Linked DNA regions of Canis lupus familiaris. The protein of the gene in region 3 purifies or fractionates together with the protein of the main gene of each other region. This does not show direct contact. Links are inferred from orthologs where the notes say so. Each region holds a gene or a part of one and is shown on either strand. Other genes may lie near its edges.

Region 1 (4,403 bases), on a different chromosome or scaffold from region 3:
AAAAGCAAGGAGACTAAATAAGAGGTCACTGCAAAAATTCATAGTATTGTGGACCTGTGTGATAACAGTAACAATAGTCATATTGTGGATATATTTTCAGAGTAGAGCTGATAAGATTTACCCACAGGTCTGATATGGGATATGAAAAAGAGAAGTGAAGAAACCTTAAAAGCTTTGACCTGAGCAACTATCTACAAGGATGGAGTTGACATGGTGATCTAAGCAACTAAGAGTTGATCTAATTGCTTAGATCAAATCTAAGAGTTCAGAGGAACTCTATCCACCCATATCCGCTAATTGGCAACTCTGTCCTAGTATACTAGCATAATATAGCATATGTACATATAGTGCAAATTTCAGGAAGTTATTTTTGTAAATTATTTCCAGGTAAGACAGAAAAAGTAGTACGAAAAATAACCCAGGAATAGGTCTGTGGAAAGGTGTTTCCTTTTAAAAACTGTCTTTGGTTACAGTGTAAGAATTACTGTGGCAACTGATGATAATTTTTAGGCCAAAAGTGTTGTATATTCCAGCCAAATGTTTCAGATTACTTGATAATTACCCAAATATACGGAAAACTAGATCAGTAAGTCAGTGATTGAAAAAAACTATTAAAAATCAAACACTAGCGTAGCCTTCAAAGTAATTCTGCTTGAATGCCTGTGAGTGTCCAGCACTGGAGCTCCCCTGGAGTCCCCGATATTTTGTTACTATATTTTGTTACGATATTTTGGTACTATATTTATAGTACCTAAAGCCAAGAGGCCACATGAGATCACTGCAAGAGAGAAAGCAGTTGATGTGTGGCTTTCCAATGTTGAGAAGTGGGGATGGTGAACAAGAACCACCAAAGAGGAGGCATGCATGAAAGACTACGGTAACAGGACTTTGCCAGTTGAACTAAAGGTGAGAATAAAGAGGGGAGTGTTTCAGGAAAGTTTCACAAACAAGATGACTTTTAAGGTGACCTTTAAAAGACAAATATTCTTCAAGCAGGCAAAGCAAAAAACAGGCATGCTAGTTACCCTCTCTATACCTCAGTTTCCTCATCTACAAAATAATACTGGTAAAATCACTTACAACAATGCCTAGCTATACTAAATGCTCAGTATCAGCTATTCTCTACCCAAATAGATTGCAAATTCCTCTGTATCACAGTGTCCTGTATCTAGAATATTTGAGAATTGATTTTGAGCTACTTCCCAGGATATTCTTATGCATCAGGGAATATGGGGAACATCAGGGAAATGTTTACTTCTGCTACTATAACACATATGGGGTTTTACCTTTCTCTGAAAATAAGAGAACTCAACTAGAGTATCAATTTGATAAATGATTAATGTGGCATCAACTATCTAGTTATAATGTGAAATCTCACTATAATGGTTTATTTTCACAGAAATCAAAATTATACTAGATTTTAATATTCCAAAAAGTTTCTTCATATAAAAATTACTACAAGTTCCATTTTTTTGGAAAGTCTCCTTTGTATTGGTTAAGCTGTCCTTGTTATGTTGTTTTAATATGTAGTATGACCTAGTTCATTGAGCTTCATTAAGCTGTCAGAACCATACTGCAAAGACAAGTGGGGCTTCTATTTGCTTACATATAAAATATGTGGCAGGTATTCCCCAAATCTTACTTAAATTATGCCTAACTTCATCTGATAGCTTATACTAAATGATCTAATGGGAAAAGCAGAACACAATTCCAAATTCACTCTCTGTCGTTACTAGATTAAAGTCTATTAATTTTTTCTCTGAATTCTAAAGGAAGGAATCAAGCACAACCAAAACCCCTCCTGTAAACCATATCAATTGTAACCATTTATTTTCCAATTCAGATTAACATGCAAAAGAACATAATACAAGGGACCATTTACAAATTCTATTAGCTCCTCAGAATGAACAGCTTGCCAACTTCCAGGCCAATTAGCTAGTTGGTTTGGAGCTAACAGGTATAAACCATGTTTATCAGAAGTTTACAAAAAATAAGGAACAACAAAATATCTAAGACGGAAAAAATATCGAAGCTTAAGGGAAAAAATCTGTACTTTTAAAAAACATTTCACTGTACAAATGAAAGCTATATAACTGCTCTATCGAGGATGAAACTAAAAGTTTTAAAATACTAATCTGTCAAACGGTTAAAATGACAAAGCTACTAATCCACTGTTTTTTGGCTATTCTTCAATTCCATTCCAGCGAACTAAAGAAGGAAATCTTTACCACTAGGCATTTCTATTCAGGTACCCCCAAAAGATTGGCCCAAAGAGAAATGGCAGAACGCAAGCTGCTCAGAAAGAATATCTAAATTTTGTAATTGTGGAGGAAGCGTTAAAACGGAAAACTCCCAACATTAAAACTAAATGAACTGAATCCCGCAGAGAAACAAACCCGGAGACTTCATGGGTAGCAACAGAGGGGGAGAAATGCCAGCTGCCGGATCTTTTTGCGATGGCCTTCTAAGGCCCAGTAGAAAAGGGGCAAGAGCAGGGCTGTAGCAAACTGCCCACCTGGAAGCCCCTTCTTCTGAACCACGTAAGAGGGGCCGGGTTCTCAAGCTACCGGCATCTCTTCCCTAAAAACTCAAAAGGGGAGGGGCTCTCGATGCTCTAGGACCTGGAATGAGCCTCTGGAAGGCCGTCTCCAAGCTGCACGCACCGCGACCCAGGCGGGGCGACAGGCAAAGGATGTCCCCACTGCAGGCAGAAAACCGCTGGGAGAAGGGAATAGATCGTACCGGTTTGTCTGTCTCGAATACTCGCCGCTGCAGGCGCCGCCATCTTGACTCCCACCATCCACTGCCCGGTTGGCGAGCACAGCCCGATTACGTGGCTGCCCGACTGCCCCGGAAGCAAAGGCCACGGGGCGGGGCCGAGGGAGGCTCTCGGGGGCCGGATCGCGGCGGCTTCCGCTCTCCCCAGGACTCGGGAGACCCAGGGGATTCACACCCGAGCCCCTCGTGGGGTTTACTTTCCAGCTGGGAACCGGGGTTGTTACCCTAATGAAGAAGCCACAGCTTCCCAAATGGTAGCTGCTTTAAGCCGAACTCTTGGGGAGGAGCGTGGGGTTTGTAATAAATACCAAATTGGTCGTTTTCAGATGTCTTAGATGTTGAGACTGAGCTAGGGGTTTCAGGATCACTGGACTAAAGTAAATGAAGCTCCAGGAACAAAGTAGGCGTTTCAATGCGAGCTCATTTCTGTTTCCCCGAGCAGCAAGAGAAGTCTCCCCTTTGCCCCTCCCCCCCTTTCCGGGAAACAGGCGGTTTTGGAGCATTGCTCTAATCTGGCAGATATTTCAATCTCATCTGTTAGGCAAAATGGTCTAGTTTTATGGTAATGTTTTACCTACATGAACACAGGAGCTAGAAAGGTGCAAATCGGCAAACTGATACCTATTTTCCTTCAAGTAACTGCAAAAATCACCTAACGGGTGTGGGAGGATAGCAGACACAGCTGGTATTCTAATGTACAGGTGAAGCTGTATGATGACAAGACGTATCTGCTATTGATAACTAATTTTAGTTATTTTAATTTAAAAAAGTTTTTCGACTTTATGGAGGTAGAACTGACAAAATTTGGAACGTAAAGTTACGACGTGATGATTTGCTAGATGTATATAACACTTTTGTGAAAAGGTTTCCCCCATGTAGTTAGCACATCCATTACCTCACATATTTATCTTCGTTTTGGTGGAAAACATTTAAAATCTATTAGCAAACTGCAATTATACAATACAGTTATCAACTGTAGTCACCATGTTATATATTAGGTCTCAGACCTTGTATCTTAAAGCTGAAAGAGTTTGTTCCTGCATCAAATGAACTATGTATGTAGGATCTTAAAAAAAAAAAAAAAGTCTAATTCATGAAAACAAAAAAAGTGGCCTCTAGGGACTGATGGGTGGGGAAAAATAGGGAGGTTGATAAAGTTATGAACTTTTACCTTTAAGAATTCTATCCTTGCATTTTTACAGCTAATTGGCATATTCACCAAGAAATTTACTATTGGAATATTTGTTGTTCTTTTCAGTGTTATTTTGATCGAGTATTTTTAAGGAATCACCAATGATCTAGGTGTACTGCAATGAAACAGAAATGACAACTCCTGCCCTAGGGGAAAGTTCTACTTTACTGTCTTCATGGAATGTAAAATATACACTTTCCCATTTTCCAACATCTGAGGGCAGATTCTTGTTCATTTGGGTACTTTCACTTTCAAATGTAAATCAATTAGCTAACCATTTCAGTTCTATCACAAATTTCTTCCCAAAACTATAACTTATATTAATCTAAAACATTAAGCCAATGTTTACCATTTATATACAGCTTCTATGTATGAAATGATAAAAACTGTCCTGACCAAGGAGTGCACACGGGGTGGGCACAAGACATAAAAA
Region 2 (2,686 bases), on a different chromosome or scaffold from region 3:
ACTTTTAGCAGCAATTATTAAATAAAACGAAAGGGAAATTCTCTAACAATAAATCACAAAAGCCCAACAGAAAAGAATTTCTATGCCTATTGTCCCTTTTGTTTAGAACACAGTTTGTAGCTTGCAAATTAAAAATCAACTGTGTTAAAATGTGATAGTACATTTTTTTCTATTAATTCCTATGGTGTCTTAGAAAGGCTGCTATGGAAAGAAAAAAAAGTGTTTTCAGGTAGTGGGTATGATGGGTGACTTAGGGAAATGATGACTAAACATGAATCTAGTAGCATTTTCAAAGCCATGACTGCAATGAAATCTGGATCCCCTCAGACAAGGTCCAAGTCCATGAATGGCATGTCAGGATTTTGTTCTTCCTTTCTGCAGCACAGCAAGATCCTAGCACAGGCCTCCTGCATACTCATCTTCGTCTTCCTCAGCAGTGGGGGCGGTGGCACCTTCAGATTTAGCCTGTGGCGCCGCAGGTTTCTTCTTGATTCCCCCTCCGGGAACCACCAAACTCAGGCCCAGCTTAGCATACTGTCAATGACAAAGCATGTTCTCAGAAGCTGGACAACAGGAATCTCAATATGCCATGTGTCAACTGTAGCTATCTATAAGAGAGAGATCTTAATTTTCTACCTCAGGAAAACCAATACTACCAGTAAAATGTAAAAACCACCACAAAAAATTCAACAGTGCACTGCCATCAGATGGCTCATGACCGTGACATGACAGGTATACAACTGGTCATCAGTTATATGCCACACTTAGGAATTTGAGATAATTGGGACACACTCAGTTAATACTTGCAGTACCTACAAAATAAAGATCTGTTGAGTAAATGAAGAGTTAAGCTAGGGACAAAGTCTTAATAAACTTATAAAAGCCTATATAAGACTTGACCTAGGGAAAAAAATGGAGTCCTCTATCCACATCATTACCAAAAAGAAAGGTCTCAAGCTGATCTGATACCAAATCAAATGAACTGGGCTCAGAAATCTACTAAAAAGGGAAAGCCACAGTCACAGCTCACGTTCTGTATACAGCACTGTGTGAGGCCATTTCTCACATGCAGACCAATCTATTCTGCAAGACAGGCTGGCAAGACAAGGACCAGCTGCTCCCTTCTTACGGATGAGTTAATGGAGGCTCACAGAGTTCATTAGTAACCAGCATCACATAACCAGCTGTCAAAGAAGTAGGCTTCCGAGAAGTGTATCAAATTACAAAGGCCACTACCTGATGAGCCTCTTTCAGAAAGTGAAGCCTAAAAGAAACTTAAACTAAGCAACTTACAGAGGTCAAAAGGTGGTAGAAAAGGCCAAGAAATGGAGCCGAATTAAAAAGTGTACATACTCAACATCATCAGATGGCTAGATAAAAGGCTGTAAACCCACATGGTTGACATCTAAACAGTCTAAGAATACAGTGAAATTCAGTGCCAATGCCACATTCCTCCGTAAGCAGTGGCTGGAGGTATAAAATAGAGGGGGAAATCTCACAAGCCCATAGGAGAGAAATAATCTCTACCTCTACCTTTCAAGAAAAAAGAAATAAAGGCCACTTACATCATTGTCCATGTACTTGAAAAGTGGCGAGTTGCACACATCAGATACTTGGTCTTGGTCTTGTTGGTCATAGCCTTCAAGAAGCTGTTCCAGGGCAGCACAGTCTTCACTCCCACTGAACCCTGGAATGCTACAGCAAGCACGAGTCACACCCCTCCACCTGCCCTCAGGGGGTTCTGCCCCCCTCCCAGATGTTTGGCAATATCTGGAGACATTTTTGTTAACAGGTGGAAAGAGGCCTGGAATACTCTAGACATCCCACAGCGCACAGGCCCAAGAAGAGCAAGGGAAATGGGTGGCTTGCAAACACATGCGCAGATTGAGACCACTCACTGTAACTACCTCCAACAGGAAATGATCTTCCCGTAACATGCAATCTGAGAACATTTCTTTACTCTTTTTGTTGTTGTCTCAGAAGACAAATGGAACAAAATCATTCCGGTCATTCACTCCCATGAAATCCCCAGGAGGAAAACATGAAAGATCACAACTTGTAAAAAAAAAAAAAAAAAAAAAATACTGCTGAATTGGCAGGTAAGTCTACCTACCACTACAAAATTTTTTTTCACTATGAAATTTTTTACAACACCAAAAATAGCTTCCTGGCCAAGAACAGCTGTCTAAACAGTGATCTCCCATCGGGAAATAGAAATTCTACACTGCAAGACAGGGCTGCCAGCGTCTTACCTGTAGCTCTCCCTGACACACCTCTCTGCAGCCACGTAGTCGTTTCTGTGGAGGTGAACTAAGACTTGAGCAATTGTTTTCTAAAACAAAAGAGGTGATTATGGTCCAAAGTTACACCGAACTTGTTAGTAAAGTCAATTTCTTGACGTCTAGAATTGAACTTTACAGTCCTGGTTTGCCTACAGAGATTTATAAATTCTTAGTAACTTCCACGGGACACGTGAGGGAAAATGCCCTGCCATGGTACATCTCAAACTACTCAGGGTTCTGTTACGTGAAGGCTGAGTTAGGGGGTCCAAGGCAAGCCCAGGTGGTCTGAGGATCACACTGAATAACACAACTTAGAACACGACCACCATACACTGTAAAGAAAATGTCTCTTAAATATCTATACAGGTTTAATCTTGAAAAGGGAAATCTTGAAGTGGGACCCA
Region 3 (3,655 bases):
TCTCCCTCTGCTCCCCACCCCACTTGTGCTCTCATGCACAAATAAATAAAATCTTTTAGGAACCCCATAATTTGGAAGATTAAGCAATGCTAATAAAAATGCATTACAAAATCTACCTAAAATAGTTATTGTTTTACTCAAATTCTACTGATAATTTAGTTCCACTTGAGAATATAGTTGCTGTTGCTTTTACATATATACACGTACAAAGATAGATATACACATACATGTGTACGTGTACACGTATCTAAGAGATAGGAGATTAAAATGAAAGTAAAAATCTTGATACCTTCTTCATGGCCTGACACTTGGCTGTCTCAGAAAAGCCAATCATCTTATCAGGAGAACAGATCTTGATGAAGGGGAAGTTGGATTCCTCTGCAATCTTTGCTGCTAAAGCAGTCTTCCCACTATGAGGAGGGCCTGTGTAAAGATACGCAAGTCAGGGAAAAAAAGCCAACCTAAGCAAAGGGGAATAAAACAAGTTTAAACCTTTATCCACAATGTACTGAGGTCTCAACTAGTTGCTCATTAACATTTCCTGACACAATTTCATAGCAGACATGTTTTCTCTTATTTATTAGCAACTAAACTTAATGAACTGATTAGCATTTCTCAAAGGTATGATGAAATACATTCCTTCTTTCTTTCTCACAGTCTTAATCTTTCAAACTTCTGGCTAAATATATAAAATGCAAGGTTGTTGTTTTTTTTCCCTAAAAAAAAAAAAAAGGAAAGAATGCATACAAATGCATATCTGTAACTCATGTTATTAGTTCCATCAAATCATATGTCTAACAAAAAATATGATCTTCTTAGAAGATGACATTGGGAGCAGGGAAAAAACTGTCTAATAGAAGCAAATGTGTCCTACAAAGCTAAAATTTTAAAGATTTAGGCCTTCTCATAAAGGCAATTGAATCTGTAAAATCAACTGTATTTAAACATCTCCTCCTCTTCCCTTCTGTGAACTGGAAGATGTGTCCCTCTTCCAACCATAAACCAACCAATTTTTCCTTCCCATCTTCTCAGGAACCTGACACTGACTGTATCTTCTTCCCCATATGTTCCATCTCTTCCTCTTCCCTATCACCCTTCCAACAGCATATCAGCATGCTTTAGCCTACCTAACAATTTAATAAACAGAGCAAAAAACTCTGGACTCACACTTCTCAACACCACTCCTTCTTTTACCTTTAAAATGGAACTTCTCTAAATAATTATCTACGCTGGCCACCTTCAGTTTTCATTTTCCCTCCATCCTCAAACAAACCCTATGGCTTCCACTGCCATTACATGGAACAGGCTTTCATCTGGGTCATCAATGACCTCCATGTCACCAAATCCAACAGATACTTTATCTGTTGGCTTCTCAGAAATATTTGATACAATGAACAACTCCTTTAAAAAAAGCAACATACTTTTCTTGACTTCTGTGATAGCGTCTTCTCTTTCTCCCCCTCTTACCTCTCTGGTTACTCTTGCTTAGTGTCCTTTGTCAACTCTTCCTGCTCTACTTGGTTCTTAAATATTGGCATTTGTCTAGCCAATGTCCCTTTCTGTTTCAATCCCCTTCCCACCCAGGCCTTTTTCACACACTGGTCCCTCCACCTCAAACATCTTCCCCAATTACTTTGCTGGGCCAGCTTCTCCTCATCCTTCAGGTCTTGGCTTAATGTGTTTCAGGGAGCCCTCACTCCCAGACTTTGGAAGGAATGAGATTCTGCTGTCATGTGGACTTAACAAACGTTTCTGTTGTACTAATTATAATTGTAAACAAGTAACTAGTGAATAGAATGTCATTGGCCTTTTTGTCTACTTGGTAAAATCCTAACTAATCCTTCAAAATCTAAATTAAACACCACCTTTAGCTTTCTTTGATCATCCCTAGGCAAAATAACTTGCATTCTCACACATCTTTACACATAAATACTGTACTTAAGAATTTGTTTACATGCCTTTGTTTTCATGACCAGACTGAACTCTGTGAATGTCTTTATATCCTTAGCAACTGGTTCAATGCCTAAAATTACTCAATGAATACTTATTTAATTGAATCGAGTACTATGAGGTATCATATAGTCTATTACATAAGATAGTACTCGGTGAATATGTAATTGACTCAGGTACTCTGTGGTAGCAGAAGTAACAGAAATTTAGATACTCTCCCACAAGAAAACTAGTGCTATCATTTATCAACAACATTCTACTCCAAGAAAACTTTAATTTATGCACAATACAAGTACATAGTCTGGATTACTATTTTTAGATAATGAAGAGATTTAGAATGGAAAATAATCCATTTTTCTGGAATATGCTAAATAAAAAACTTTGTAAAAGTGCTTTTTTTTTTTTTTTTTCTCTTACTGCCATCTCTTCATTTTTTTCTCACCTTCCAAAAGGACGCTAACCAGTGGTGTACGGTCACTATTTTTAGTCTGTTGAACCAGCAGCTCCCCATCTTCCAGAACTCGAGTAACTGGATCACCCCATTTGATAATACCATTCATAATGTAACTTGCATAATCCTCTTGGTTTGTGCCAAATGCCTATGGAGGAAAAGGATAATTTAAACCATTTTGGTTGTTAGTATAAAAACTAAAACACTTAAAAGTATAAAAGATGAGTAATAATTCCTACACACTAAAAGTGTTGAGCAATATCCTTATTAATGTAAAAAGTTTGAAAAGCAAATAAAAGCAAAAACAAAATACCCATTACTTTATAATTCTTATTTAACCTTTACCCAGTAGTGAGTGGGGTATGGGGTGTGGGGAGTGGTGACTTAGGGTGACTTTGCATGATTTAGGAGAATAAAACAGATTCTTGGGTCAGATTCTACAAGAGCCTAAACCCTTGTAATCCCTGAGAAAGGGTAGTTCCAATGCGCTTGTTTCTGTAAGGAGTACACTAGTTGTGGCCTTCTATTAAGAACAAAGAGAAAAAGAGGTTATAGACTTAGAAATTAGAATCAGTTAGCTCAGCAGACAGAAATACTATCTTCACAATGACTGTAGGTGTCTCAGATTAAAATGGGAAATGAAGTGGTAATGAGAGGATCTTGTCCATATCAGCTTGGTGGTGGGGGACATATGCTAAATGGCACCAAGGTAAGCCTAGTTGTGTAAATATAAGAGTTAGAATGAGGTAGAAAGGAGTAGCTATAGTAAAAGACTAAAGTATGAGAAAAAGGAAATAAAAGCAATACTATATATAATAATCTTATGTGTGCTCGCTACATATTAGAGCTTAAATCACATCCCTCTTCATTTTCAACTTCTACTTTCACATTGTAACTCCCATCAAGCCAGTTGCCAATAGGAGTCAGTAACATTAGTATTTAGTGACTTAAGTGAATTGTGTTTTCTTAAGGTTGACAAGTGAAGAAATGAGTAGGAACACATAACCCTACTCATTTCATAATCTAGGGATCACATATCTTGAGAATTTCAAATTTTAAAAAACTATCACATCCCTCAAAAAGTCAATTTTTCATCTCCCAACTTATGGAATGATTTTAACATTAGAACTTGTGGCCCAGGGACGCCTGGATGGCTCAGTGGTTGAGCGTCTGCCTTTGGTTCAGATTGTGATCTGCGGTCCTGGGATTAAGTCCTGCATCAGGCTCCTCAAAGGGAACCTGCTTCTCTCTCTG

The links.
Region 1: the proteins of NSF (region 3) and SCFD1 purify together in Homo sapiens (affinity purification with mass spectrometry; 3 studies listed by BioGRID and IntAct, with this or other methods). This does not show direct contact. The link is inferred for Canis lupus familiaris from reciprocal best matches to the Homo sapiens genes NSF and SCFD1.
Region 2: the proteins of NSF (region 3) and NAPG purify together in Homo sapiens (affinity purification with mass spectrometry; 3 studies listed by BioGRID and IntAct, with this or other methods). This does not show direct contact. The link is inferred for Canis lupus familiaris from reciprocal best matches to the Homo sapiens genes NSF and NAPG.

What each region holds. Positions count from the first base shown.
Region 1 is NC_049229.1:10,106,465-10,110,867, reverse strand, and holds the start of SCFD1 (sec1 family domain-containing protein 1), read right to left. Parts: upstream 2,867-4,403; 5' UTR 2,801-2,866; coding exon 2,743-2,800; intron 1-2,742. UniProt on the Homo sapiens protein: Plays a role in SNARE-pin assembly and Golgi-to-ER retrograde transport via its interaction with COG4. Involved in vesicular transport between the endoplasmic reticulum and the Golgi.
Region 2 is NC_049228.1:76,506,837-76,509,522, reverse strand, and holds part of NAPG (gamma-soluble NSF attachment protein), read right to left. Parts: intron 2,333-2,686; coding exon 2,253-2,332; intron 1,696-2,252; coding exon 1,566-1,695; intron 609-1,565; coding exon of another isoform or gene 535-608; coding exon 394-534; 3' UTR 1-393. UniProt on the Homo sapiens protein: Required for vesicular transport between the endoplasmic reticulum and the Golgi apparatus.
Region 3 is NC_049230.1:16,840,073-16,843,727, forward strand, and holds part of NSF (vesicle-fusing ATPase), read right to left. Parts: intron 2,550-3,655; coding exon 2,393-2,549; intron 424-2,392; coding exon 290-423; intron 1-289.